Linked DNA regions of Coturnix japonica. The protein of the gene in region 1 interacts with the protein of each later gene in a pairwise test. Links are inferred from orthologs where the notes say so. Each region holds a gene or a part of one and is shown in the gene's direction. Other genes may lie near its edges. The genes, in order: SSX2IP, FAM161A, TOP3B, CARD9, MRPL53, CCNH and XIAP.

Region 1 (3,839 bases):
ATAAAGCTGGTTGAGGGTGTTCTTAAGGAGTGTATAAAATAGGCAAGGTAGAATGACATCCCCAACCTTTGGCTTTCCAAACACAATTTTATTTCTATCCTTTACTCTTGTTTTGTTAAGCAGGGCAATGTGGTCTCAGTTTGGTCTTAAGAGTGAGGGGGATATTTGGGTAACGCGGTCTTCTGTCAGTAAATACATAAAAAGGTAAAAGAAGTGTCATCTGAATATGTAATTGCACATTGTTTCATGCTTTGAAATCTCCTTTTCATTTGTAGCTATGGAAGTTCTAAATTATGTTGGTAGAGCTGATGGGAAGAGAGGTGCGTGGAGGACTGATAAGACAGAAGCCAGGTGAAACTGTAGTTGCTTTAGAACAACATTAATTAAACTCTTTGTTATGTTGTCACCTTGTTACTGTCACATTTCTGCTTTCAGAAATGAAGAACAAATGTACAAAGTTCTGCTAAGTGACTATGAGCAACGCCAAAAGCAGCTTTTATTGGAAAATGCTGAGCTGAAAAAAGTTCTTCAGCAAATGAAGAAAGAGATTATTTCACTTCTTCCACCACAGAAACAAAAACCTAAAGAAAGGTCTGAAGATGGGCCAGTAAGTATTCTTTGGTTAAGCTTAAGTCTGTGATAGTTTGCAGTGCTGGAGCAATCTGATTAAAATACTTCCTGGAAGGCTTGCAGTGGAAGGACCTGAAAAAATCTTTTCATTATTTTTGTAATAGTAAAAAAAAAAAAAAAAGTAAAACCTATATGTATATATAGGTTTATATATATATATATTATATATTATATTATATACACACACACATATATAAGTTTTACTTTTCTTTGGTCAAACAAATCTACGTATGTATTTAAATGTGTATTTTTTGAACGTTAAGATTGCTTGCACCAGGCTTTGTTTCTATTTCTATAGGTACTTTCAGACTTGGAGGAGGACATTGGAGAGTTAAATAAAGAGAATATGTGGGAACTGTCATGTGAAACTGTGCGAGAGCAGCTTACCAACAGCATTAGAAAACAATGGAGAATGTTGAAAAATCACGTTGAAAGGCTGGATAACCAAGGTGGTGTTTAACTCATATGCGTACATGTAAAATGCTCCTGACTGTTTGGTGTCATGCTCTTTGGATTTACATTACTGTATGTCTTAACTAAGTGGAAGCTAAAATGCAAGGGATTGTGACCTGATAGACTCCCTGAAAAGGCTTGTGATTGTCATTTTCTACATGAGTTTAAATTGTGGGAAGTTAGGAAAGCTATTGCCTAGCAAGTCTGTTATCCTGAGAACAGACACAATTGTAGTTTGACAGAGTAAACAGCTTTCTTCAGAAATAATTTATTTTTCTTTTGGAGACACGTGCACTGTAATATGCAGGTCACTCCAAAAGTAATGCCTTCTGTTTATTTTCATGAGAACTGTAGCAGATACAAAGAGCACAATAGTACTATTGAATAGACTAAATTCTGAACTGCATAATACTGTTCTGTTCTTTTCTCGACGTAGTCACCATTAATTAGCTATGTGCTTTTGCCAGTAGTTAACAGGAGCCTACATGTCATGCTTGCAAAAAACTACAGAAAATCTTCATTAGTGGAGGTGACATGCTGTTATCACTGCTGAAACAGACCACGCACCATCTTGCTTTGCTCACATCCACTGTGTTTGGCCTCCATAAACATTCAGCAAGCTGTTTTTTTCATTGACACACCTTTGCTTCATATGCATTTCCATGTCAGATGCCATTACTGCCCTTCTGCTGCCATCTGTCACATGGCAATGAAATGTAACAGAATGCTGGTGAGAAGGTTCGACCTCTGCCACCATTGTCTGCCTCTGATGTTGTGGGCCAACTTAAGCAGGAAGCATTATTTTCAGAGCAGCCCTTGTAAATGTTGGTTGTATTTCCCCGTTTCTCTGAGCTGTTCAAGTAATGCAGATACTCAGTTTCTTTCAACTTGGGATATGTGATACACAGATCCTTCTTAAAGTTTGAGCTCGTTACATCCATATCTCTAGTGCTTCTGCTGGCATTCTAAAATGAACTAGTTGATGGTATGGTGCTGGACTCTCCTCATTTCCAGCTGTTAAACAGCATTAAAAGACAGCTAAAAATATATAAAATTCTTTCCTAGTATTATTTTCCAATGTAAGCAAATGCTGCTGCTACAGCAAGGATGTTTGCAGTCAGGAATAAGAGTGAGAAGGTCATGAATGTAGTTGCAAATAAAAGAGCAGGTGGTCTCTGGTATAGACATATTCTTACAGAAAGGATTTTAAGATCACTTATTCTGAGTAATATTTGACTCAGTGTACTGACAAAAAATAATTGTAAGCATCAGGAAAAAAAGATTCGAGTATTTGCAGTCTTCTTGGAGTTACTTTTTATTTACTTTTTCTTTTTTTTCTTTTTGAGTTTATAGAGACAACCATGTTCTGATCTGTTAGCATTTGCTTAGTGTTTAAACACTGTCAGCAGGGGATCCAGACTTGGCATATTACAAATGCTGGGATGGTTGTATCTTTGTACAACCACACATTACATTATTTCATCTCACGCACATTTTATTCCTCTCTGATTCATTCCCTTTCTGAGTTAAAAATGTGCACACAGTGTTCCAACTGTTAGCTCTGTTTCTCCTTCATAGAACACGAGGGAAAAAATCTTTCCGTTTTTATCTATGGTATATATAGTTACTGCCATACTCTTATGAACACATAGACCCTTCAATAGTGGGCTCAGAATAGGCTAACCATGCATCAGTGAAAAGAAATCTTCACTTGTTATTTTCTTTTAAATAACTGCTGAAACAAGTTGTGGTGGTTATTTTTGGTGGTGGTGTTTTTGTTTGGTTGTTTGTTTGTTGTTTTTTTTTTTTGGGCAACACTGTTGCGGCACAGATTTGTGATTTACCTGAATAAATGTTGCAGCATTTGAGGCACGGACTCAGATGTGAACGATCCAAATCGTTTATTACAAGTTCTCACATCCCTTATATTACCTTCACAAGTTATTTTTCTAACTTTCCCGTCTGCCCTTACAACTTTCCCAACCACCTTTACATGTCAACAAAGCATTCTACAAAACACTTTTCAACTGTCCATGCAGGCACGTATCCAATCAGAGCTGTGAGACCCTTCTTCTCCTTGCAGAGGTGTCCTTGGTTCTCATGCTGTTTATCTTGCTCCACAGCTGCTGCTCTGAACAGCTTTTCTTGTATTCCCACAAAATGTGAAATCTGAGGTGACGTTGTAATGTTCAGCTCAGGATAAATGGCAGTAGCTCTTAATTACGAGTGTAGTACCAATTCTGGATTGCTTGTCGTGATAATAGGAATTTTGAGTGCATGATGAATGTGTCTTTTGGAATTAAACTATTACAGTTTAACAATCTTTGTTATTGCTTTGAGTTTTAAGTGTTGTGATGTATTGTTTTTAAGTAACCTTTTTCCCTTTTTTCTTCTCCCTTAGTGTCACGTGTGCATTCAGGAGCCTTGAATGATAAAGATGTAATTTCAAGGGAAGACCATGAGCTGGAAACTGAAAAACTAGAGTTAGAAATTCAGCAATGTAAAGAAATGATCAAAACTCAGCAGCAGCTTTTACAGGTAGCAGGCTTTTTGTTATTTTCAAGACCAAATCTGTGAATTATTATTTTTTTTTAATGTCACTTATCACTCACTTCTGAGTTTTTCTCCTTTTTTTTTTCTTTTTTTTTTTTTTTTTTTGACAGTGCTTTTTAAATAGGATATCTCTGTGGTTGGTTTAAGTGATCTGTTCAGTTGATTAGTAATGTAATGAGTTTGTAATCCTGGTAGGAAAATTT
Region 2 (4,523 bases), on another chromosome or scaffold:
TACTGCGTGCGTGCCTACGGGGATGCACTGGAAGTCATACCATCTACACTGGCTGAAAACGCAGGTCTCAATCCTATCTCAACAGTAACAGAGCTGAGGAACAGGCATGCTCAAGGAGAGAAAACAGCCGGCATTAATGTCAGAAAGGTAATGAAGAAGTTGTACATAGAACTCTGTAGCTTAAATAAATAGGCTGTTAAAAGGAAGATGTACTACCTGAAATCTGAAATACAGAGAACAAAATTCTTGCTAAAGTTAGGAACTTACCCTGAGTACTGCTAATGGCAGGTTCTCATTCTACATCCATGGCGTTCTGGTACCTTCACATTTCTCTTCAAAAACAGTTTTCCAGCTGGAGTCACAGTGAACTTAAAGCAGGCAGGTGTGGTTAGAAGGGTTGGGGGTAGTACATGCAGTACTGCTGGGACAGCGTCTTGTTTGAACTGCTAACAGCTATGGCTGGTTTTTCTCTTGGCTCACTTTGAGTGGATACATCAGATACTCAGCAGCAGCCCTTTACAGTAATATTCCTGTTGAGAACTGAAGCGTGCAAGCTAATTGATAGTCTAACTCAGCACAGCATCACTTCTGGGATCCTATTAGAAGGTGTTAAACGTGGTTGTAGGCTCACGTGCACAAAGTGATGGTGCCTTCCTCTTGCAGGGTGGCATTTCCAACATCCTGGAGGAGCTGGTGGTGCAGCCGCTGCTCGTGTCTGTGAGCGCCCTGACTCTGGCAACAGAAACTGTGCGCAGCATTCTTAAGATTGACGATGTGGTGAGTAGCGTTTGTATCACGTTCTTGTTGATAAATGCCAGAATAGGTGGAAACACAGATGATACTATCAGCTGTTTCTACCATTTGGTCATCTAAAAACAGGGCACGGGAGAATTAAACTGCTATTGGCATAAGCAGGGTACCTTAAAGCAAGATGTTGCAGTGACTGTAACAATACATAAGCAAAGAAGTCATTGTTACTGTATTGTGTGGACCTCTCACATGTGCTGTTGTGCTTTTGCAGGTGAACACTCGATAAGCTGGATAAAGGAAGCTGGGACTGTGCTCTGCAGCTCCTCAGATGGTCTGAGCTGCAGCTTCCTCACCAGAAGCGCCTGTGTGAATTGTCTTAAAAGTCCACGAATGCTTATATGTACTTTTCTCATGTTAATTTAATACATTTCCTGGTTTCGGAAAGGAAATGCTGTTTATCAATAAACAGGCACCAGTCTACTTGAGTCTTTGCTTGATGATTTCACTAGAAAGGAGGTCGACTTCACTAGTTTGAATTAAATTAGCATTTACATTAGCGTTCCACATCATTGCAGCTCACATAGCATAGTTAGCTGATCCAGGCTTTGCTTCCCATTACAAGGTGTTCCCCATTTGGGCTGTGGCCCGGCCATCCCATGGTGCTAACAGGGCTCAGTGCTCAATGATTCCACCTCCAAGAGGTAGAAGACCATTCCTGACCTTAGTTTACCCGTACTCACTAATAATCCCCCATTTGTCTGGAGCTCAAACCTCTTAGAACGGGAGGTGACCAATGAGCGGAACCAGCCGCGCCCCCTCACACAGCCCCAGACGCCCCGTGCCCTGCAGCCGGCTGCGGTACCGGGCCCTGCGGTACCGGGCCCTGCGGTACCGGGCCCTGCGGTACCGGGCCCTGCGGCCCCGCCTCTCCCGTCCCGACACGTCCCCGCCCCTGCACGCAGCCATGGAGGCTCCGCACAGCGCGGAGCCGCCCGCCGCCTGCCCCCGTGCTCCCCTGGAGCCGCACAGCCGGGCGCCCGCTGCCCACAACCCACGGGATCCGCAGCACAGCGCGCAGGTAACGGAGGGAGCGGCGGGGCCGGGCCGGGCTCGGTGGGACGCGGAGCAGATGGGCCGCAGAGCTGTAAGGAGCTTAGGAGGAGCAGCGGAGGGCTTCGCTTTACAGCGGCTATGGAAACGGGCGGGGGAGGTGCCGGTTAAGGCTGTCTTAGAGCTGTGTTCTAAGCAAGAAAAGGACTTTTCCCTTCCAAAAGATCCTTCTGGATCTATTTCCCGATACAAGGATAAGGGCTCACAGGGACAGACTTCGTTATTTAACTTCCCATAAACGGCAGTCTCAAGCCATAAGGCACTGCAGGAAGACTGTTCCATGCAGCGTGTGTTAAAGTCTGTGCATAGGTAAGAGGTATGAAATTCGGCGGTAGCATTTCATTCATGAGACAATAAAATGAAGCAGCGCTATAAACCTCATTCCTCTTCCCTCTGAACCACAAAGCCTGACACAGAAATGCCTCCTCTATCCCTAGGGGGAGCTGGGCACAGAGCCGGGCCCTGGCAGCGAGCAGCCCATCGCCCCGGGCACAGGCTGTGACACACAGACAGAGCTCTCCAAGCTGGGCACCTCGAACCAGGAATATTACCTGAAGCTGGAGGAGCTGAAGAATGCCCACATGGAGACCATGGCTAAATTAGAAAGCATGTATCGGAACAAGCTGTATCTACAAGGAGTGAAGCTTTTGGAGAGGAACAACACTAACAGTGCAACTTCCTATGTCTGCTGTAGGTAAGTTCTGTGGTACCTTTGGAGGACCTTTGCAGGCTGCAGTACATGGGGCAGGTATGTGCTGCGGCTGGGAACTGCTGCTCTCCCCCTTTCCTGTAAAGGGATAATTACAGCGAGGTCAGCTTCAGTTCTTACAATGCTTATTCACTTTGCTAGCAGGCTGTCACACTCACAAGTATGCCCACAGCAGAATCTGTGCAATGCATTTAATAAAGCACAGTGCCTTGTTACCCTTTTCCCTTCCCTCTCTCACCCTCTGTGCAGTTATACAGTCAATAAGTAAACAGAGATTAAACAGATGTTTCGTATCATGATAGAAAGATAATCTATGATGATGGGAAACGCTCACCAGTGTTGAAGGTTTGCAGTAAACTCCACACAGGAACAATCTCCAGACAAAGAGATCCTGCCTTAGTGGTGGTCAGCCCTTAAATGGGATCTGGGAGAGGTGCAGCCAGGCTCAACTCCTTCTGGTAGCACAGATGAATTACCTTCACCTGTGCTCCCCCAGCTGACTCATTGCTTGCCTCAGGTGGTCAATCAGAGGTTCAGGCTGTGATCAGCAGTTTGCTATATACCCTGCAAGTGCTTTTCATCTTTCTCCCTCTAGTGAGGGCACTGAAAACAGTTTACTGCCTTCAAATCAATGCTGGAATGGATTCAAACCAACTTCTCTTTTTCCCCTCTGTTTAAAGGCCAACCTGGGAGAAGAGCACGTATCAGCCTCTAAGTCTGCCCAGATCCTTCTCTGACTCCAGCATTAGCGATCCCTTTGGCTCAGGTGTGTCTGGTGAGTCCAACAGAGAACTGCCATCTGAAGACAGCTGCAGTGAAACCGGATCATTGTTATTTGCTAAGGAGAGGATTGCAAGGATGTGGGACGGCTTCTCGGTGGATGACTACCTTCCCCCCAGGAAGCACAGCCTGCCCAGAGCCCCGGCTGCCAGGACAAGACAGAAGCAGAAGGCATGGTCACCAAAAGTCACGGTGCCCAAGCCTTTCCAGATGACAATTAGAGAAGCCAGAAGAAAAGAACAGAATGTCAAATCCAAGTCACAGATTGAGATAGAAAATAACCTACTGAAGAAGCAGCTGGAGGAAGAAGCAGAGTGTCAGAAAAAGTTCCGAGCCACTCCAGTGCCCGCTGCCGTCTTCCTGCCCCTCTACCGTGAGATCGTGCAAAGGAATGAGGAGCGCAGGAAGACTGTGAAGGAGAGGAGCAAACTCAAGCTCTTGGCTTCTCAGAAGCCGTTTAAGTTCATTGAAAGAGAGAAGCAAAGGGATGAAATCAGAAAAATGCAATTGAGAGACCTCTCTACACCTGAAAGGCAAACAAAACCATTCAAAGCAAAGCCAGTTCCCAGGTGCGTTTATAGCCCGTCTGTTAGAGACAAGCTGCAGGAGGAAGAGCTCTACAGAGAAATCCGGATTAGAATGAGAGCTGAGGAGCTGCTGCGAAATGCATCTGTGCCCACCAGCAGGCTGGCTTCCAAGGATGCCAACAAGAAGAAACACAAGTGTGCTGAACCAAAGGAAACGGAGCGCCAACCCAAGGTCCAACACAGCGTTCCAGATTTTGACCGGCTACACCAGAAGTTTCAGAAACGGCTCCGGCAGCAGCAGCAGGTGAAACACCTCACGGTGTGCGAGCCGTTCCATCTCCGCACTCCGTACATTCCCTCAAACAAGGGGAAGGTCTTGAGAGACATTCAAGAGGATGAAGAAAGGCTGAAAGAAACACGCTGGCCGTACGCCTCTCCAAGGCGCAGACCCCAAACCAGACAGTCGAGCGCCAACTCACCTCTCTCAGGATCTGGAGAATCCAGGTCGCCAAGAGTCACATGGTCCTCACAACGAAGGCTGCAGGCCCTAAGGTGACTAACTGCTGCAGTGATGCTCTGTGCCTTTAAATACCTAGAGAGAATTCTTTTGTACCTCTACAGATGCAATTAATTATTTCATGCAGTGA
Region 3 (3,839 bases), on another chromosome or scaffold:
AAAGGCACGACAAAATCCAGTCATTCAAGCCTGAGACTTACTGGGTGCTGCAGGCTAAAGTAAGTTATGTGTTATTTGTTTGATTAAAACATGTTTTCCTTCTTATATAGTAAGAAACGGACTTAACACTTTCATTTTGTCCATTCATGAATTTGTAGCTGCTGACAAGAATTCACAGTGCCTACAGTTTACTCGTCTATTTTCATTCAGTTCACATGTGTGTCACCACTCTCTTAATAGATTTGAGGATGTCGGTTCTGTGTTCAAGCGGTTATTGTGTGCTGCTTGTAAAAATTCTTTAGTGGTAACCATCTAAGCTTAGACTGAGCCAGAAAGACTACTTAAAATGGCCTGTTATTGTTCCCTGGGGTCCTTGGACCAACTGTGGTGTTAATTTGAATCCAAGAATTAATTTGTCTGCCAGTGAGCATTGGCATTGCTGAGTATTGGAATTCTGAAGCAAATAAAATGTTCACTGTGTTGGCACTGAGTCTTCTGAATGCTTTGGCAGTTTATGGCAGTTTTATAGCCTTGCTGCTGTTCCAACTTGGAGCGCTAACCAACATGGTTTTACTGTTTGTGATGACAAGGATTGTGTAAATAAATAGGAGATAGATGGTAAAAAGTTGCTATTTTTAGATTTTAAAATTTAAAAAGAAAAAAAAGTTGAAATCCAGTGTCTACTCTTATCTGTTTTCTGCTATATCTCCTTTATATGTGTCATGCTAGGAAGCATTTGGTTCCTGTTTTCAGGGTGTTTCATGCACACACATTGATTAGTTCATATTTACTTTTGTAGGAGGGACTTGGATTGTGGCCCACGTACATTTTATTTTTAATGCAAAGAATTAATGAATTTTGCTAAGTGAAAATGTTAAACTTTGAATTTCGGCCCATTTTGCCTTTGTTATTCCAAGTATTTAAAATAAGCACAGTATTTCAGTTAACTGCAAGAATAATTTCAGTCATTCTCCTTGCCCCAGAACTCAAATTACTCTTTCTCAGAAGCCACTGGAAAATGAGTACAGCTGCATGCTTGGAGCACTTGTAAAACAACTACTACTAAGGTTTACTTGCTGGATTATTGCTGAAGTGCATTCTGCACTTTTAGTAATAGTGCTGGTGGGAATTAATTTGTTGTTGTTTGTTTTTGATCCATCAGGTGAACCCTGAAAAGGAAAGTTCTCTCACTTTGAGTTGGGACAGAGTGCGGGTATTTGATCGTGAGATCGCTCAGATGTTCCTAAATATAACAAAGGCTGCAAAAGAAGCAAAGGTAGAACTATTTACTTAGGTGTTGGTAGAGCTTATTTCACATAAAGGAAATACTACTCAATAGTTCATCTACTGTATATTGGTTTTTTTGAGCCTTCTTTTGGCGAAGAAGGTTAAGAAATATAATCCTTATCTTTTTTTATTTCATTCAACTTTGTGTAAATGATAAGTAAAAGGCAAAAGATTCTTGCTTGTAGTTTGTGTTACATTAGTATGGTCATCTCAACAGAAGCCCATTCTTAATATTGACTTTGGAAATGGTCATCATTCACGATAGGAATTAACAGTCTTCATTGCTGAACTTGCTGAGAAGCACAGTTCAGAACTCCCCAAGCAGACCTCTTGTTTCCCACAGGACACTGCATAGATCGAAATCTATTTACTTATAGAACAACATTCCTGCAGTTAAGTTTTTAACTTTGTACGGTACAGTCCTTATAGCCAACTAACCTGCTGTTCTGTTCAATGCTTGTCTGACACTGTGTTGGGATTTAAGTGTTTACAGCTACCAACGTTCAGAGGCTACACGGTGTTTTAAAAAGTTGAGATCCTTATATCTAGGACCGTTACTTGGGTTGAGCACTACTCCCTTGTAGCACTGATGTATGTGCTGCAGAGCTAAATGGGAAGTGAAGGTAGCAGTAAGCTACATCCCTTCATGTCCAGTGGTAGGTCTGATCTAGTCCATAATGTGAAGGGACCCTGGGGCTATTCCTTCAGCATTTGGTAAAGCTGTTTCCCATCAGATTTCCACCAGATCTGACGGTTACTTTTCTACGGAAAAATATCAAAACACAGATGTGACGAAAGCAGGTCCTGGTAGGAATACCACATGGTTTTAGTCATAATAGACATTTTACATTTATCAGTTACCAAACTTCAAAACTTTTACTGGAAAAATGCTATTTTCTAGGTAGAATCTGTGAGTAAAAAAGAGAAGGTGAAGCAGAGACCACTGGCTCTGAACACGGTAGAAATGCTACGAGTGGCCAGTGCTGCTTTAGGTACGTGTAAAAGTTTAGATTTTCACACTGATTTAGAGCAAAATACTTTGGATTCTCAGCTGAAATAATCAAGCCCATATGTAATATTTTAATAAGTCTCCCTACAGTGTATCACTTTTGGGAAGCAAGTTTAGAAAGCATGTCAAAAGTACTGGGTCAGATCAAGGTGGCAAAAGTCTTATAGAAAGGACAAGTTGTAATTTGTAATTAGCTTAAATGTTTTGACAAGGTGTGCTTTAAGACTCAGCAACCAAAGGCATCTACAGATTGCTGTATGATTTTGTTCTCTCCTGTGCCATCCCAGGAATGGGTCCGCAACACGCCATGCAAATAGCAGAGCGTCTTTATACACAGGGTTATATTAGCTACCCTCGAACAGAAACTACCCATTATCCAGAAAACTTTGACTTGAAAGGATGCTTGAGACAACAAGCTAATAATCCTTACTGGGCAGAAACGGTGAGTAAATCAAAACCTGTACTGTTCTACAGGTGGTTCTCTAGTCTGTGTTTTTAGAACATCTTACCTGGTATGTCTTGATCTGTAGGTCTCTGCAAACAACAAGTATCTGTAATTGCTTTTACTTACAGATATTGTAGTTATGGATTTGATCTTAAAAAAAAAAACAACTTCTAACCTGATAGTAGAGACCTGCTATCCACTTCAACCCGTTTTCTCTCTTTTCCTTGACCCAGGTAAAAGCATTGCTATCAGAAGGCATCAATCGTCCAAGGAAAGGCCACGATGCAGGTGACCATCCACCCATCACTCCAATGAAAGCTGCAACAGAAGCAGAATTAGGTACAGACAAACTGAATAGTGTTAGAACACTGTGAGGAAATTGGTTCTCTGATAAAGAAGCATGTTAAGACTTTGAGTAGCCATACAGCTTACTGAATGGCTATGTAAAACTTCTTTGTACACAATAGGATGAAATATGCAAAGCACAAGACTGATACTTAGGAGCTAAGTTTCTGTTTATAGTATTATAACCTCTCTGCTATTTGATTTCCTAGCTATATGTTGTGATTAAGGAAACTGTGTGTAGCTCTTGTCTGTTCTGTGCTAGTTTGTCAGGCAGCCCGATTGATAGCATATTTAAAAAGAAAAAGTTGAAGTTAATGTAGCACAGGATTCTAACAAGTATGATTTTATGGGTAGGAAATTTTGAAGGGGAAGCTGGATGGACTTTTCAATCCTATTTTCTCTTAGGTACCAGTTTTCCCTGTGGTTTCTGTGGAAATCTGATATCTTTTAGCGCAAATTTTATGTAGTGCTGCAGGACTTGATTTGTGGGAGTAAGATATTGTTTATCCTCAGGTGGAGATGGATGGCGGCTGTATGAGTACATCACTAGGCATTTCATTGCCACTGTGAGCGCTGATTGCAAGTACCTACAAACCAACATTTCTGTCAGCATTGGCCCTGAACGTTTTAACTGCGTTGGGAAAGTGGTAACTTCACCAGGTAAAACTAACCAGGGAGTAAGTAGTTAGGCACCGTTTATTATTTTACCCACTCATGCATTAAATAGATATAAAAGTGAAGTTTTGGAGGCAA
Region 4 (3,023 bases), on another chromosome or scaffold:
TTATATGCCTGTGTCCTGTGTTCCTGCATTTGTTCCTAGCTATTGTCTGAGAAAGAATATGGAGTACTTCTCATGATCTTAATTTGTTTGTGTCCCAATAGCTTACTCTTCATGCTCACCTAGATGAAGATACACACCTGACTGAAAGTAAGGTTTCTACTGGGGAAAACATACAGCATGGTTCTTGATGGGGTTTCCCAGTGTTCAGAGGGACAGGAACAGACACTTTTAGTGCAGAAGAGGAATCCACTGACTGAGGGTTTGGTCATTTGGGTGAAATAGGAGCAGGGTATGAGAGTTCGTGGAATTAAATGAGACATTTGAGCACTGCCTTCTGAATTGGGCCAGCCAAAATCACCTGGTACACAATGCCTTCAAAAAGCAGCTCCTGGATGCCTCTTCTTCACACAGTCCTCTCGTGTTTGTGGCTGAGCTGAGAATGGAACAAGCATCCTTCCACTCCAGCTCAACCACATGTCTTTCCCCAGAGACATTTCTTTCCTCTCTCTTATGTTGCAGGCTATTTTCACAAAAGCAGAACCATGTAATTAACACTGTCCCTGGTTCAGTTCTTGTGGCAGCCCCAGTGGAAATGATTCAGCAGCACAGAGAAGAGCAAACAGGGTCCTTTAAAGCTTGAGATTCTCCTTTGAAACATGTTCCAAAAGGAAGGAATCAAGCAGAGATCCTCACCTGAAAGAATTAAGCAATCATTCTCTGAGATGGGAGACTTTTCACAGCAGCTGCCACACTGAAACAAAGCCTTTTCTTACCCTACCTCAGCCAAATCAGAATGACATATCACAGTATCTGATCACTGCATTAGGAGTTGAGCTAAAATACGATCTGTTGAGTATCTGAATGTGCACATCTTCCCTGTGGCCCAACACCAACAAACTGTGATTCATGTTTAGTGGGATTTCTTCTTGTTATCTCCATCATTATTCTTTCAGTGACATTAGGCAGAGGTGCTGCTCTGCACTGGTTCATTTTGCTTCTCCACAAGCAGAAATTAGACAGATGGTGTCTGGTGATCCTATGGGGAATTCCATCCAGTCTAAACAAGACTCAGAGGTCACGCAGAATGAGCAGGGTCTTGTGCAATGGTCACAAGATTGAATACTGAATGTTTCAAGGCCTGGGTTTGGCTTGCTGTGGATGCTGTATACTGCTGGGCAGCTCTTACATGACAGCTATTGCCGTGTGATGAACTGGTGGAAGGAGAAGTTACTTCAACATGGCAGCTGTGACTGAGATTGTGATTTGCTTTTCTGTTTTCTCTCAGAAGAATGCTGCAAAGGCGAAAACCAGCAGTTCAGCAATGGAGAAAGCAATCTGCCTGCAGAGTTGCCCACTGTAAGAGCCCACAATGATTCTCTTTGGTCTGAATGGGGTTTGTAATTACTCATGTGCTTGTTAACAATGGATTTATCACAGAATGACCAGGGTTGGAAGGGACCTCAAGGATCACGTAGTTCCAACCCCCCTGCCTAGCAGGGCCACCAAACACACACATTTACTAGATTTAGCAGGCTTCAGGCCCAAGCAGATGCAATGCAGGCTCTACACACATCCCAGGGGCTGGGCTATGGTAGCAACCAGCTCTTCTTAATCATTTTAAGGCACAAGTTTCCATTTTCTCCTCTTAATTTCTTGGAAATAGATTCAGGGCTGCAAACAAACCCAAGATGGGCTCATCATGTAGAGCACCTCAGCCTTGAAGGGCTCCATCTTTACACAGCAGCCGTGTCTAGTGTGATAATAACATTGATCCAAGGCTTTAGAGCAACTTGCTTTGAGGTTTAGAGCAACTTTGCCTTGTTCCATTCCAGTTCGAGGAGTGCAGCTCTGCCCACGAGGAGCTGTCTGAGAAGGAGAGGAGGAGGATGAAGGATTGCTTTGAGCGTTACCGCAGGTCGGGCCCCATTTCCATCCCATTCCCATCCCATTTCCATCCTATTTCCACCCCGTTCCCGTCCCGTTCCCGTCCCTATCCCACACTCGGTTCCATAGGCCTCACTTCCATTCGGTCCCGTTACCAGGAAGCGCGCCCTCCGCAGAGCCCCCGCAGGCCGCCGCCATGAAGCCGACTGGGAGCCCAGCACCGGCAGCGACAACACGGACACGGAGGGCAGCTAGAGCTGGGCCGAACGTCCCGTTACCGGCCCCGTCAATAAACACTGAGCGCTCACAGCGGTGCCGTTACCGTCGGGATGGGGGAGGCGGCCTATGTGGGGCCGACCGCGCAGCCTCAGCGCCGCCTCTTGTGCGCCTGCGCGGCCGCCATGTTGAGGCGCTTGGTGCGGGTGGCAGCGCGGGCCGCGCTCGGCTCCTCAGCGCCTCCACAGCGGCGGCCATTGCCCCGCAGTGTGTGCACCGCACCGCCGGGCAGCGTGGGGCGGCTGCAGCCATCGCATTACCGCCTGGTGTACACCTGCAAGGTGCGGGGATGGGGAGGGGAGCGTCTCCGACGGTCGGTGTTGTGTTGCTAACCCGTGCCTTGCAGGTGTGCCGGCGCCGCTCGGCTCAGAACATCTCCCGCTTGGCCTACAGCCGAGGAGTCGTCATCGTTACGTGCCCAGGGTGTCACAACCATCATATAATCGCTGATAACCTGGGCTGGTTCTCCGACCTGCAGGGCAAGAGGTGCGTGTGTGTGTGGGGGGTGTGTCACATCATCGGCACATCGCCCTTTAAATACGAGGTTTTGCAGTAGCTGTCAAAGCATTCTTACTCCCAGGAGGGGAGTAAACTCTTGGAAAGGGCTGACAATAGCAGGACACGGGGAAATGGTTTTAAGTTAAAAGAGGAAAGATTTAGGTTGGGTGTTAGGGGGAAGTTCTTCACTAGGAGAGTGGTTAGGCCCTGGAACAGGCTGCCCAGGGAGGTTGTGGATGCCCCGTCCTTGGAGGTGTTCAAGACCAGGTTGGACGGGGCCCTGGGCAACCTGATCTAGTAAAGGTGTATGTTTGGTGGCCCTGCCAGGCAGGGGGTTGGAACTACATGATCCTTGAGGTCCCTTC
Region 5 (4,377 bases), on another chromosome or scaffold:
TGCTCAAATGCCATTATTACTGTGTTCCTTCCATCCTATCCCTAATCCTCACTAAGCTCTCCATAGTGCTGAGCTGAACAAAGTACCAGACCGTTGTAATCATTTATCAAGGAGGTTTCTGCCATCTAGCGGAAAAATACATTGCTTGCAGAAGCCACACCAAGATCGAAACCTTTGTTCAAGGGTTGGGCATGCAACTGCTGAACCCAGCCCATCTTATCAAATGCGTTCCCTTCCAGTATCGTCGCCTTTTGCAGCAAGCCTCTGTTCGGATTGATGCACTGAAAAATGCTGCCTCTAAATGATCCTTGGTCATACTGGCTACCCCTTATAACTAACCTCACTCAAAATCACACAGAATCACAGAATGACCTGGGTTGGAAGGGACCTCAAGGATCATGTAGTTCCAACCCCCCTGCCTGGCAGGGCCACCAAACATACACCTTTACTAGATCAGGTTGCCCAGGGCCCCGTCCAACCTGGTCTTGAACACCTCCAAGGACGGGGCATCCACAACCTCCCTGGGCAGCCTGTTCCAGGGCCTAACCACTCTCCTAGTGAAGAACTTCCCCCTAACATCCAACCTAAATCTTCCCTCTTTTAACTTAAAACCATTTCCCCGTGTCCTGCTAAAATCCTCATTCCTCTCAATTCCACTCAAATCCTCATTTCCCCTTATACTTACCTTCACTCATATCCTCATTTATTTCAGTCATCAGTGAGTTGTAGAATGGCTTGGGTTGGAAGGGCCCCCAAGGATCATGAAGCTCCAACCCCTCTGCCACAGGCAGGTCCACCAACCTCCACATTTAATACTAGACCAGGGCCCCATCCAACCTGGACTTGAACACCTCCAGGGATGGGGCATCCACAGCCTCTCTGGGCAGCCTGTGCCAGCACCTCACCACTCTCATAGTAAAGAACTTCCCCTGATATTCAACTTAGATCCTTCCTCCTTCAACTTAAAACCTTTTCCCCTTGTTTTACTGTTATCTACCCTTGTAAAGAGTTAACTTCCCTTCGGTTTTTAGGATCCCTTTAGGTACTGGAAGGGTGTACTGAGCTCTCCTCGCAGCCTTCTCTTCTCCAGGCTGAACAAGCCCAGCTCCCTCAGCCTGCCTTCATTATTCATACTGAATAAACTAGAGTACTTCTGAACCACATCCAAATCAGACAGGGACAGAATTAACATGAAAACAGCCATATGCAGACTTGCTCAGCAAGCCATCTCCTCACGTTAGGGATGAGGACAGCCAGCTGCTATCTGGAAAACGTAAAACCAAACGCTGTTTGGCAGCTGACAACATGGCTGTTACTGCAGACTCCATTTCCCAGGCGGCTCCGGGAACATGGCCGCCATCGCTGACCCGCCTCTGTGCGGGGCTGCCGGGACTCGTAGTACTGCGACGGGAAGAAGATGGCGTCCCGGATCCATGTGGTGCTGCGGCCCGTGAAGAGTATCGTAGTCCGCTTCTGCCCCTTCGATTCCAACGTGGAGAGCACCAGGTGAGGGGCAGCGGCGTGTCCCGGCCCTGGGGCTGCGCGGGACTCGGTGCTACCGCCGATATGAGGGGGGTGGATCCACACGACCTTTAAGGTCCCTTCCGACCCGACCCGAGGTACTCCAGGCCCTTTAATCACCTTCATGCTCTCCACTGGACTGTCCCAGGAGATCACTGTCTTGTCTATACTGGGGAGGATGTGTTTGTGTTGTGTAGCTCTGTAGATCCAGACAGTAATTGGATTGCTGCCTGGTAAGAAGTGAGTGTCTGAAATTATTGAATATAAATCCAATTCTGTTTATACCCAGCAATGTCAAACTATTCAAAAACTATACTATATACTAAAACTATACGTTTTGGATGCATCTCTCATGTATTAACTGTAATTTTTATCTGTGGAGCACTCAGTGTGTTTTAAAATACATTTTCAGGAAATTTCTTCAATGTATAAACCATAAAAGAATCCAAGCTACTAACAGGAACTGTGAAGTGTCTGCAGATGTGAGACATGATGGATCTGAACCACTTGTAGATGTTATGTTTGGTAAGAGTTCATTTTTAATCCTCACAAAAAGTCCTTCCACGTTTGTGGTTTCACAGTGTCTCCTCTATGATCATTTTTGCTGTGATTAATTTATTCTTTTTTTAATTCTCTTCTACACCTGGATGTTGCCAAGCTGGGAAGGAAAAAGGAAGTCACTAACACTAACATGTACATGTACAAGTCTTTACCAAACCTAACTCATATAGAGTTGAGTCCACTTTAGCAGTGGGACACTTGTATAACCTTGCAGTCAAAGTCAGTTCCAGGAAAACAAGTGTAGCTTTGCTTTGATGTTTTACACATCTGTATACACACATACTGAATTTTTGTTCTGTGTTGTCTTGTTTTCTGTGGTGGAGACATCTGTCTTAAGAATAGACAAGTTTAACACTTGGAGTTCTTTATGCAAGTGAGTAACTTGCTGCGTAGCTGGAAGGAACTGCTCATATAAGACCATACATGTGCAGACGGACATACAGAGTGAGGTCAACTGATGTACAGCAAATTACTTGGTTTCCTTTGGAGATCCAGCGAGTAGACAGGGAATTGATAGTGGAAATGTCATCAGTTCTGGAAGCAGCCCAGATTCAAGGCTATGAACAGATGGCTGTAATCTGATTTTGTCTTTTTCTCGGGCTGTATCTTCTTTCCTGCTGTGCTGTAATGGCCCAGTATGGCATGTAGCCTATTAAAGTTTTCATTATATTTTTTCCTGTTACCCACTTTTCTTTAAGCTTTCTGATATTTAGTGAATCAGTAGAAGTGTTGAGAGTGCTGAATGTACTTGTTTTGCCAAGCAAAGCCAAATTACTTCAGCGCTGACAGAGGTTTCTCCCTCCCTCAAGCCGCTTTTTTTCCAATCCTTGACTCTATCTGTGATGTATTAAGACTTACGCAGTAAAGCTTAGTGTTTTTCACAGTGTAAAGCAAAACAATTTATTTCACTAATGCCAAGAGCTACAGCTCTGAACTCCACTTTCTAAGAGCTGATTATTTTCCAACGGAAGAGTCTGCAGCCCTTCCAATTGGCAAATGTGACTGGAACATGGATGCCACGAATGGTACTGCATTAAATGGGTTTGACTATATCTTTTATATTTGCAAGTCTTGCAAAGATAAAAAAATAACTTAGGTACTATCCTTAATTTCTGATGCTCCCTCTCTGTTTTAAAGTGCCTTTTTTTTTTTTTCCTCCCCAGGAATTTACAAATCCAAGTGTTGTCTACTTTTTAATTTTATAACCACCAGATTGTATAAACCGTTTCACTGTTTTGGCTAAAGAAGTGAAGTAAATGGGCCATATACAACATGCTGCTAAAATGCTGGGCCATGTGTGGAAATTATGCCTACCAGTGCCTTTTGTGCCTTCTGTTCACTGACTTTGGTGGCATAGTGTGAGCCATTCTTATCAACAATATGCTTTTACCATACATATATCTTGAGAAACATTTCTTATTTTTTGATCAGACAGTACAGAAATGAAGATTACAATAGTTACAGTTTCATGTATTTGTTACAGTTTCATGTATTTGTTTGTTCCATAATAGGATTTCTTGTTAAGTGGACTCCTTTCTAATCAGACAAGATGAGCAGGGTATTTGGATTTGTAAATGCAAGCCAGAACTGCACACAAAAGTAACTGTGACTTAAATTTTAAGAACTTATAAATGTTTTCTTTCCAGCTGATGGAGAGCGATTGATAATGAAAGGAGCCAACCTGACAACAGTTGAAATGTTAACAGCACTGGGTTCCAGATGTAATGCAAAGGAGCTTAAGGCAGAACAGAAAAGCAAGAAGAATCCCTGAAGAACAGAACAACTGTGTTGCCATTTGTTAAAACAGGAGGCTGCAAAGAGAGGTTTTCTCCAATGCAACAAATTCTGAGAGAGATGGCCAAAAACTGACCAGTTTAATGCAGAGCAGAATCAACTGTTGAAGTTCTTCACCGTCTTCCCCAAAAGGAAAACACAGTAGATCAACAAATAGTGTGACAGCAGTGGACTGGAATGGCTTAAGATACACGAATGCAGCAGTGTCTGTTATCTGCATGTTGGACTAATGTCACATGTATTTGCATATAAATATGAATACTGCACATTGGTTATTAAATTAATAAATGCTAAAGTGAAGATAGGTCTCTCTAGATGTTATTTCCAACACATTTAATGTAGCTGAGAAACAGCAGCCTCCAAACACAGAGACTGTATTTGCAAGGACATTGGCTGTACAATTTATACTATGTCTGTTGCTAAGACCTTGCCATTTTCTTCTGTGATTCAAAAAAATGTGTGATATTGGCCAAATGTAAATTTAGCTCAGCAATTAAAGCA
Region 6 (3,634 bases), on another chromosome or scaffold:
TTCTATCTGCTCTTTTCATTTTAGTACCCTCCGTGAATTTCCAGTAGGATGTTATTTATTATTATTTTTTAATGTTGTCACGGGTTACCTAGATTTACCTGTGTCAGGGGCAGCCGCCCCATAGAACCCCTGGCCCGAAAGGGAGGGGAAAAGGGGAATGGGAAAAGAAAACAGCAGCAGCAATCTAAGGAGGAAAACTTATTTTACTAAATACGATATCGGAGTACAAGATTACACAATATAATATAATATAATTGAGGCTAATAAATTGAACAAAACAGAGAGAGAGTCCCCAAAAACCGAGAGGCTTACTGTGAACTCTAGGTGACACAGCTGGAACGCTTCCCACTCTCTGAGAGAGAGAGAGCTCCAGCCTGGGAGTGAGATTATGTATGTCCTCCTCCCGTGACTTATCTCTGGCCATGAAATCCTCTGGGATACATAGTTCTCTTCTGAGAGCTGAGTATTTTGGACGTTGTTATTCTACGGAACTCGAGTATTAACCTTTTAATGATCCATACTGCACATGATGTTACGATGTGAAATACTGACAGCAACATTACAAAACCGTGACAAATTTGTTCATAAACTAATCTAAAATACTGTGGCCAGACCATTAGTCTGACTCAAAAAGTAACTGAAGCTTCTTGTTTTTTCCTGTTTGAGGCTTAGGAAGAAGAGGAAAATTAGTGAAGAAGATGAAAACTCCAAGAAGCCTAAACTGGATGAGGTCAGTTAATGTTCTGTACAAGTAATTACTTTTCTGCTCAGTAATAACTGACAAAACTGACACACTGTTGAGACAAACTCCTTCATCTCATTACAAAAGTTGCTCAGAATATTTTTCAAGTTAGTTTTAGCATCTAATGTAAATCTCCCTTCTTTATTTGTAAACCATTTCCACTTGTCCTATTGCTACCAGACCATTTAAAGTCTGTCTCCCTCATGATTATGAACTCATTTGAAGTACTGGAAAGCCATGATGAGATTTCTCCCGAGTCGTATTTTCTTAAGGCTTGGCATGCCTATCTCACTCAGCCTGTCTTCATGGGAGAGGTGCTCCAGCCTTTCCTGTGCTCAGGGCCCCAGGCCAGCACATGGCACTCCAGATGAGTAGGCCATTCCAGTGGCCTTCTGTGATGGGAGTGATGTCATGAATAGGTAAAGGGCAACTGATGTCTTCTACCTGCACTTCTGGAAAGTCTGATGTTGTCTCGTGGTGCATTCTTATTTCTAAATTGGAAAGATACAGATTTGGAAGGTGGACTGTTGGATGGATAAAGAATTTGTTGGGTACATTTGGATGTGAGGGACAGGATGTCTCAGGAGCAAAGGCAAGGAAACTATGCACTTAGAGTAGCACAGAGGGTGATGGGTTGTATTCACTGTACACATAGGCATCCATTTTAGATAATCCCTGTAAGCAGGAAGCAGAAACTCCCTAAGCAAGTGCACTCACTTTACTTTCTGACCCTTAAGAGATGGCAAGGGGCAGAAAGGAGAGAGAAGGAACGTGCTGATGGTAGATTCAATGGGTAGTGCCAGCAGGGTATCCCCTGCTTCAAGGTGCACTTCTCTCCTCCACTGCAGCTGCTCTCCTGCTTTTATTCTTCTCAGGGTTTTCTTTTTTCCACCTGCAGGCTGTGCCTGTGTGGCCAAGAGTGATACAGAGCACAGGTGGAATACAGAGCAGTTACAAGCAGGGCATGCAGGCTCTTGCTTTTTACACTTGCACAGCTAATAGTGGTGACTATGTTGAAAAATAGTGTTTTTTATCAGTATTTTCTCTGCCAAATAGCATTATTGTGCTCTTTGTATCTTTTGTATTTCCTTGGGAGTAAGTGGGAGGCATTGTTTTCATAGCGGCAGACGTACATTTGGTGTGGGACTTGAAGGAACTTGTATTTCTAGTTGGAGCTTGGTCTTACGTGTTAACTAAGAATGACAGTGCTTCTTGCTGGTTGTCAGGAGCAAGAAGGGCACTGTCAATCATTAATGTGTTTCTTTTCTACCCCTATATTTTGGAACAAATGCATTCCTCTCAAGTACATGAAGCACGTGTTTTGAAATCAGTTTAAGCTTACTGTGTAAGTCATTTACATGCAGTAGACACAGTGTGGAGATCAATGTGTTGGTTGTATTACTTGAACTCTCCTTAAGCAGCATATGTAAAAGATAATACTGCTACTATATGCAGTGCTGCCACATGCACAGTTCTGTATTGCTTGGTCACCTTACTGTAAAATGACAAGGTTGATTTCCTTCCCTTAGGAAGAATGGACTGATGAAGATGTTGTGGATTTGTGAAGCCTATTCCTGTGCTTACTGTTCTGTGGCACACTTGAACCTGCCTGTAGAAGATTCTGTAGGCTGAAGCATGAGGTATTTTTATATGGTTTTTAATTTCCTCAAAATAAAACATTTATTTGAAGGTTTAGTTGATTGTAGCTCAAGTTTTGGTTTAGCAGCGCCTTCAGATGCAACTTAAGAACAGGGTTACAGCACAGCAGTACATTATGTCCATTCTGGCGTTTAGCAAAGTGGTTAAATACAAGTGCAATGCAGATCTGCTAATAAATTCTGAAGTACTTGAGAGCAAGATCTGCTGCTGTGCTCTGCCCAGGCTTGTCACTGAAACTGCTACGAGAACATAACCTTGCTCATAACATCTCGTTGTGTTTGAGAAGCTCTTCCCAAGTGTACTAAGGGGCTGCAGGCAAATTACTTATCATACTAGAAGTTATGTTCATGGTTTTGTGACTTGTCTCCTGCTCTGTTTCCTCTTCCTGTAGCTTTGCTCTCAGACCAGCTTGCTGTGACAAACCCTGTTTGGGGCACCCTAGGAGAATAATTTAAAAGATCTTCCGGAGTAGTTAGTTACATTGTTTCTAAATTTAGGCGGAACTATTTCCTTTTAATATGTTGCTTCAGAACACGTGCAGCTCAGAATACATTGAGCTGAATGTAGCTCTGGGTTTTTCCTAGCTTTGTGTTCATCATAGTTTGTTTATTTTTTTTTTTTATTTTTTAAATTCATATAAACAGATGCAAATCTGTTCATCAGAGCTGTGTTGTGTTTTTTTTCTTTGTTAAGCTGCGTTATGCTGCTAATACCCAGCCAAGCACATTTAAAAGACTTCCCACTCAAGGCAGAATGATATTTCATTCTTTGGTAACAGTGCCAAAGCTGTTCTTCTTTCCTGACTGTGCAGCCTATCATAGCTTCACCTCAGAGGGCCTGACCATTAACACACTACCTAGCAACTAAAGGAAAAGTGATTTAACTGAAACACCTTTTATTGTGCCATCCTTACTATGTTCTGAGCTGGCTTGTACCCTGCTAGCAGAGCATTTAGAAAAAGGAAAAAGTTACAAACTGGTCCTGTGACTTCTGTGTTCTGATTAATCACCTTACTGCGTTACATAAGCAGGAAAGCCTAATAATGAAGGAAACTTATTTTAAGTAAGTTATTCCTTAACTTTTCCTCTGACATGCAATTTAAAATTTGGACTTGAGCAGACCAACAGACCAGCCAGGTATTTTATGGAAGGGGATCTAAAAAAAGAACTCTTTAATACCATATTCTTGCTAACAGATTGATATCATTATTAGTCTGTAGCAAGAGTGTGCTTT
Region 7 (4,553 bases), on another chromosome or scaffold:
TTAATTTAAAGGAAAGAATAAATACAGCAAGCAGGAATATTTCTCTACATTGAGTTCAACTTGACAAAGATATTGCCTGTGATTTTCTGCTCGAAGTTTAATTACCTCCTTTGGCTCAATTACCAGAACTCTGCCTATAGTGAAAGGTGCTTCAAAGTAATACAATTCATTTTACTGTTGAGTCACCAAAGATGTCGTTAGTTTTGGCTTGCAGTACAACTTACTGATTCAGAATTTTATGTTAAACTGAACTTTAAATTGGTTGAACAGAAGAACAAGAACTGGCTTGTGTAGAAGGTAAAACATTTTATAAGCATTACTCTTCTTATTGTCATCATTTTTCTTGTTTGTGATGTTTTCTTATGTTTTGGTTGCTCTGTGTGTTGGGTCTAGAAGTTTTGGGTTTTGTTTGATCAGGATGTTTGATTTAGACATCAAAACCCAGAAGAGGGTCACTGTAAAAACACCTTGTGGTATTAAAAAAAATGATTTGCCTCGTTTGGAAAAGCATCAAAACCTCAACAAAGCGATGGCATTTGTTAAAATCATTGCTAATGAATGCATTAGTAATGTGGGATGGTGAGGATTTATAAGATTAAATATTCACATTCATCCTGCTCTGTTAAGGTGCTAACCTCTCACCGTGTCATAATACGTCTGAGATCTTTAAGTAAATAACTGTGCTTTGCTATGGTGTGAACTGAGTGTGGACTGATAGGAATCTTTACTAGCGAAACACAGCTATTTCTCGGGATATTGAAATCAGTACAATTATCATCTTGGGTTTAAATTCTTAAATAATATTTCTGTCATGTGATCCAGAACGATAGTCTGCATTTTCAGTACAGCCAGTTTTCTCATTTAGAAACGACTTTGTTTTGACTCTGTACAGATACACTGGAGGTTTCAGATCAGGTGAAATGCCAACCTGCAGAGATGTCAGCCCACACATTGCTGACTCGGGACTGGAAAAACTCGTTGTTCTCATGAGAGGAGGGAGGAATAAAGGCAAGAAGACAAGTTCTGCGCCAAGTTAGCAAGCGGCGTTGCTGGCAGCTCTCATCTTCAGGGGGTACCTCAGAGAGCAGCACATGGCGGATGTGTGCTGCCAGGGAGGTTGTGGATGCCCCGTCCTTGGAGGTGTTCAAGGCCAGGTTGGACGGGGCCCTGGGCAACCTGATCTAGTAAATGTGTATGTTTGGTGGCCCTGCCAGGCAGGGGGTTGGAACTACATGATCCTTGAGGTCCCTTCCAACCCGGGTCATTCTGTGATTCTGTGGCGGATGACTTCTCACGGTGGCCTTTGTGCAGACCATGGATTCTGTGGGGAACAACCACTCCCTCACACCATCTTTCAGCGGCCCTTGAGCACCACGCCTGGCCGGTACCCAGCGGGAAGTGCTGGCGAGCGGGTTGGGGGCTCTTCGGCCGCTCCACTCCACGAGGAGCGGGCAGGAAGACCAGCAGCCGCTGAGGGGTGATGCGCTGCCCGCCCGCCGCCACTGGGTGCCGCCGTCTGACAGCGGGCCCCGCACTGCCGCGCTCCCCCGGCCCTGTGTGGGGCGCTGCTGCCGAGCGGTGCGGAGCCGAGAGGCTGCCGGGAGCCGCCATTTTCTCAGCCGGAGCGATTCCCGCAGCCGGGGCCGGTGAGGAGGATACGCGGCGCGGTGAGTTGTCAGGCGGGCGCGGCGCACTCGGGTCGGCGGGCGGACTCCCCGCGCGGGGTAGGGCCGCTCCTTTCCAGCCCTGGTTCTGCTCGGGGCCCACCCGCCCCATGTGCTCGAGGGTCGCCGAGCCGGGAGGCGTTGCCACAGGAACGGGCGCGCCCCCTCCGCTGCAGAGGTGTCCGCTCGTGGTTTCACAGCCTGGGCTTTGTGGTATCCACTGAAGTGTCTGCTGCCTGGAGTTGTGATCTCGTGTGTAGGACAGTGTTCGGATGGAGCAGAGTCGTTCAGCTCTTCCTCCTGTGCTGCTGCCCGCACTGGAGCTGTGCTGTGTGTTACGTTAGGGATGAGGTGTGGTGGTGTTTGCTTCACTTACACCAAAAGAAAAAAAACATTTTGCTGATGGATGCTTCCAAATCCTTTCTTAACTAATAGCTTGATGCAGTTAAATATACACTGAATTATTCACCTCGTCTCTTGAAATAACTGCGTAAGATGAACTTTAAGAAAGCAAGTTTTCATCTGGGGATGAAAAGTTTTGTTGAATAAGTCTATATTTTGATATATTTTTTTTGTTTCCTTAAGTGCTTCCTTTTGCTGTCCTGTAGTTTTATTTAGGACCCATAAGAGGACACACGAGTGATTCAGTCCTTTTGGAAGTTGGGCACCCACGCTGTTGGCCAAGAAGGGCAAAGAAATGAGTTAATGACAGCTCTGTGCTTCCTCTGACCTTGCTCCTTGTAACCAGCAGCAAAAGTGAAAGAACTCTGATGTGGGTGTGGTGGGGTTTTTTTCTGCTTCAAGTGATACGAGGCAGACTTGCTTCTGTTATCAGAACAGTTAGAAAATGCGTGTTCCTATCAAAGCCTTTGGAATGTGAAGGTGGATTTTGTTGCAGGCTTCTGTGTGCCCACGATAGTGATGGTGCACCTGTTGCTGTACTGCCAGGCTGGGCGAGGCAGCCAAAGGGAGTTGAAGTGTTGCAGAATATCCAGTTCATAAGTCAATGAAGAGCTCCCTGTGAAGGAAAGGATGTATTTATTTATTTGTTTGTTTATTGCCTAAAGATTGGTGCCAGAACACATGAAACTTGTATCTGCTTTAGTTAATCTGCTGCTAACCTTGGTTGGTGGCAGGATACCAAGGGGAAAGCCATTGTAGATACCCTTTCATTCTTATTTTCCATCAGGAGTTAATGGATGTAGTCTCTTGCAGCTTATTTTTCATAGCAAGAGGTCCATCATGAGATGTTCTATTCAAAAGGCTCTGAACACAACTATAGGAAGCCAGGCTCTAGAAATAGATTTCTGAACCTAAGGGGAAGAAAATTTTAGTTGTGCAGATAGGCTGAAGGTATGTGAAAGTGGAAGAAGGCGTGTTGCACAGCCTGATTTGGGTTGTCCTTCAGGACTAGAAATGCTATTGTTTTAATTGGTGCTGCTTCTTAACAGCTCAGACTGTATCACAGAATGTTTTACTTTTTGCCTTTTCTATGCTTGGTTAGTTATCGGGTGGATACCAGCAATAAGATATTTGACCCCCTTATACGTTGCTGTGTCTTTGAGTAGACGAAGAAGGGACAGCAATTGATTTCATAAGGAGAGATTTTGCACATCTAGTTTTAGGAACGTTTCCTATTTTAGAAATGGAAACTGTAATACTGTGTGCACAACTGAAAATTGTTACCAGAGAACCTGGGTGCTTCCCATGTTAATTTTGGACTTGATGACTATCCAAAATCTTCTTTACTAGAGTGCAGGTTCTATTTTAAAGCTTGCTTAGTGGAATCTAATCAATGTTGGAATTGAGAAGCCATCCTCAGTGAGCAATGTCACTTATGTAATATAGAACGTAAAATGAAGCTGGTCTTGAAGTTTGCTGTCCTTCCCCTTCTGTGTTCTGAACGTTTTCTTATTAAACAGTAAGGCAGCATTTGGTGCTGAGTGCTGTCTGCAGGTGCAATTTTCACGTTTCACTTTTGTGTTAGAATTAGTCCTCGAGTCATCCCAACTTGATAAAAAACTTCAAGTATAGAGGATAATTCAAGAGATTCCAAGCACACAGCTGTGTGTATGCACACCAATTTGGGTGTGTATGATTTCAGCCCATCGATGAATGACAAAGCATTCATGCTAGTGATACTGGGCTGAGGTGCCATTTAGCCCAGATGGATTTGCTGTGTGAGCAGCCCAGCTGGGCAGAGGTCATGGGCTCCCTGTGCTGCCCTGCTGCTGCAGTTTCTTCCTTTATAATCGCAAGGATCTGGCAGTTTTGCTGTGGCATTAATCACTTTACTGCAACTGGAGTCCAGTCTCATTATGTCCCCTTGAAGAGAGCTTGTCTCTTTCTGTCTTTTCACTCATCTATAGGCATAAATGTTTTCTAGCTGAACAGTAAAAGCATGTGATGCTGCAAGCTGGAGCACAGCTCATACTTGAGAAGGGAGGAGTATCCATGGTCACTGCAGGTTTTGCCAGGTGTTTTTTATCACTGCCCATTTTGTTCACATATTCCCATTGACTGCCTTTTTTTTTTCTTCCTAACCAAGAAGAGCAGTAACTCCGTTGTATTCCTGCAGTGATACACTTTATAGTCACTGATTGATACTTTTGATGGATACTTTGTTCCCCTGTTTTAACTCTGTGGAGGGTTGGATCTGTATAGCTTGCTTCTCAGTTTATTGAAGTTGCTTTGTTGTAGCTTAGGTACATATATCTGTTTCTATCTGAGCTGTTAGGATAGGTGCTTTGTAAAGGACTGCAGCTTGTCTAAGTGCATTTGGAGGCAACAACGATCATCTGGTTTAAACCTACCTGCTGTGTGCAGGGCTGCCAACCTCCAGACCAGGCTGCTCAGAGCCACATCCAGCCTGGCCTTGAATGCGTCCGG

What was found.
Region 2: the proteins of SSX2IP (region 1) and FAM161A interact in binary tests that used the Homo sapiens proteins (3 or more experiments, as listed by UniProt). The two-hybrid records come from large-scale screens. The link is inferred for Coturnix japonica from reciprocal best matches to the Homo sapiens genes SSX2IP and FAM161A.
Region 3: the proteins of SSX2IP (region 1) and TOP3B interact in binary tests that used the Homo sapiens proteins (3 or more experiments, as listed by UniProt). The two-hybrid records come from large-scale screens. The link is inferred for Coturnix japonica from reciprocal best matches to the Homo sapiens genes SSX2IP and TOP3B.
Region 4: the proteins of SSX2IP (region 1) and CARD9 interact in binary tests that used the Homo sapiens proteins (3 or more experiments, as listed by UniProt). The two-hybrid records come from large-scale screens. The link is inferred for Coturnix japonica from reciprocal best matches to the Homo sapiens genes SSX2IP and CARD9.
Region 5: the proteins of SSX2IP (region 1) and MRPL53 interact in binary tests that used the Homo sapiens proteins (3 or more experiments, as listed by UniProt). The two-hybrid records come from large-scale screens. The link is inferred for Coturnix japonica from reciprocal best matches to the Homo sapiens genes SSX2IP and MRPL53.
Region 6: the proteins of SSX2IP (region 1) and CCNH interact in binary tests that used the Homo sapiens proteins (3 or more experiments, as listed by UniProt). The link is inferred for Coturnix japonica from reciprocal best matches to the Homo sapiens genes SSX2IP and CCNH.
Region 7: the proteins of SSX2IP (region 1) and XIAP interact in binary tests that used the Homo sapiens proteins (3 or more experiments, as listed by UniProt). The two-hybrid records come from large-scale screens. The link is inferred for Coturnix japonica from reciprocal best matches to the Homo sapiens genes SSX2IP and XIAP.

Annotation. Positions count from the first base shown.
Region 1 is NC_029523.1:14,419,644-14,423,482, forward strand, and holds part of SSX2IP (afadin- and alpha-actinin-binding protein), read left to right. Parts: intron 1-275; coding exon 276-351; intron 352-435; coding exon 436-607; intron 608-928; coding exon 929-1,079; intron 1,080-3,484; coding exon 3,485-3,621; intron 3,622-3,839. UniProt on the Homo sapiens protein: Belongs to an adhesion system, which plays a role in the organization of homotypic, interneuronal and heterotypic cell-cell adherens junctions (AJs).
Region 2 is NC_029518.1:13,367,077-13,371,599, forward strand, and holds the start of FAM161A (protein FAM161A), read left to right. Parts: upstream 1-1,420; 5' UTR 1,421-1,543; coding exon 1,544-1,828; intron 1,829-2,297; coding exon 2,298-2,554; intron 2,555-3,249; coding exon 3,250-4,428; intron 4,429-4,523. Other genes in the region: CCT4 (T-complex protein 1 subunit delta), read left to right, coding at 1-147, 664-777, 1,022-1,036. UniProt on the Homo sapiens protein: Involved in ciliogenesis.
Region 3 is NC_029530.1:348,777-352,615, forward strand, and holds part of TOP3B (DNA topoisomerase 3-beta-1), read left to right. Parts: coding exon 1-59; intron 60-1,162; coding exon 1,163-1,276; intron 1,277-2,188; coding exon 2,189-2,279; intron 2,280-2,583; coding exon 2,584-2,738; intron 2,739-2,974; coding exon 2,975-3,080; intron 3,081-3,599; coding exon 3,600-3,746; intron 3,747-3,839. UniProt on the Homo sapiens protein: Releases the supercoiling and torsional tension of DNA introduced during the DNA replication and transcription by transiently cleaving and rejoining one strand of the DNA duplex.
Region 4 is NC_029532.1:6,407,908-6,410,930, forward strand, and holds the end of CARD9 (caspase recruitment domain-containing protein 9), read left to right. Parts: exon of another isoform or gene 1-101; coding exon 102-147; exon of another isoform or gene 148-1,285; coding exon 1,286-1,356; exon of another isoform or gene 1,357-1,832; coding exon 1,833-1,915; intron 1,916-2,020; exon of another isoform or gene 2,021-2,042; coding exon 2,043-2,139; 3' UTR 2,140-2,191; downstream 2,192-3,023. Other genes in the region: DNLZ (DNL-type zinc finger protein), read left to right, coding at 2,214-2,441, 2,507-2,646. UniProt on the Homo sapiens protein: Adapter protein that plays a key role in innate immune response against fungi by forming signaling complexes downstream of C-type lectin receptors.
Region 5 is NC_029517.1:109,901,410-109,905,786, forward strand, and holds the start of MRPL53 (39S ribosomal protein L53, mitochondrial), read left to right. Parts: upstream 1-1,373; 5' UTR 1,374-1,417; coding exon 1,418-1,506; intron 1,507-1,933; coding exon 1,934-2,046; intron 2,047-3,728; coding exon 3,729-3,853; 3' UTR 3,854-4,377.
Region 6 is NC_029547.1:54,313,664-54,317,297, forward strand, and holds the end of CCNH (cyclin-H), read left to right. Parts: intron 1-666; coding exon 667-730; intron 731-2,271; coding exon 2,272-2,307; 3' UTR 2,308-3,063; downstream 3,064-3,634. UniProt on the Homo sapiens protein: Regulates CDK7, the catalytic subunit of the CDK-activating kinase (CAK) enzymatic complex. CAK activates the cyclin-associated kinases CDK1, CDK2, CDK4 and CDK6 by threonine phosphorylation.
Region 7 is NC_029519.1:14,642,345-14,646,897, reverse strand, and holds the start of XIAP (E3 ubiquitin-protein ligase XIAP), read left to right. Parts: upstream 1-1,559; 5' UTR 1,560-1,667; intron 1,668-4,553.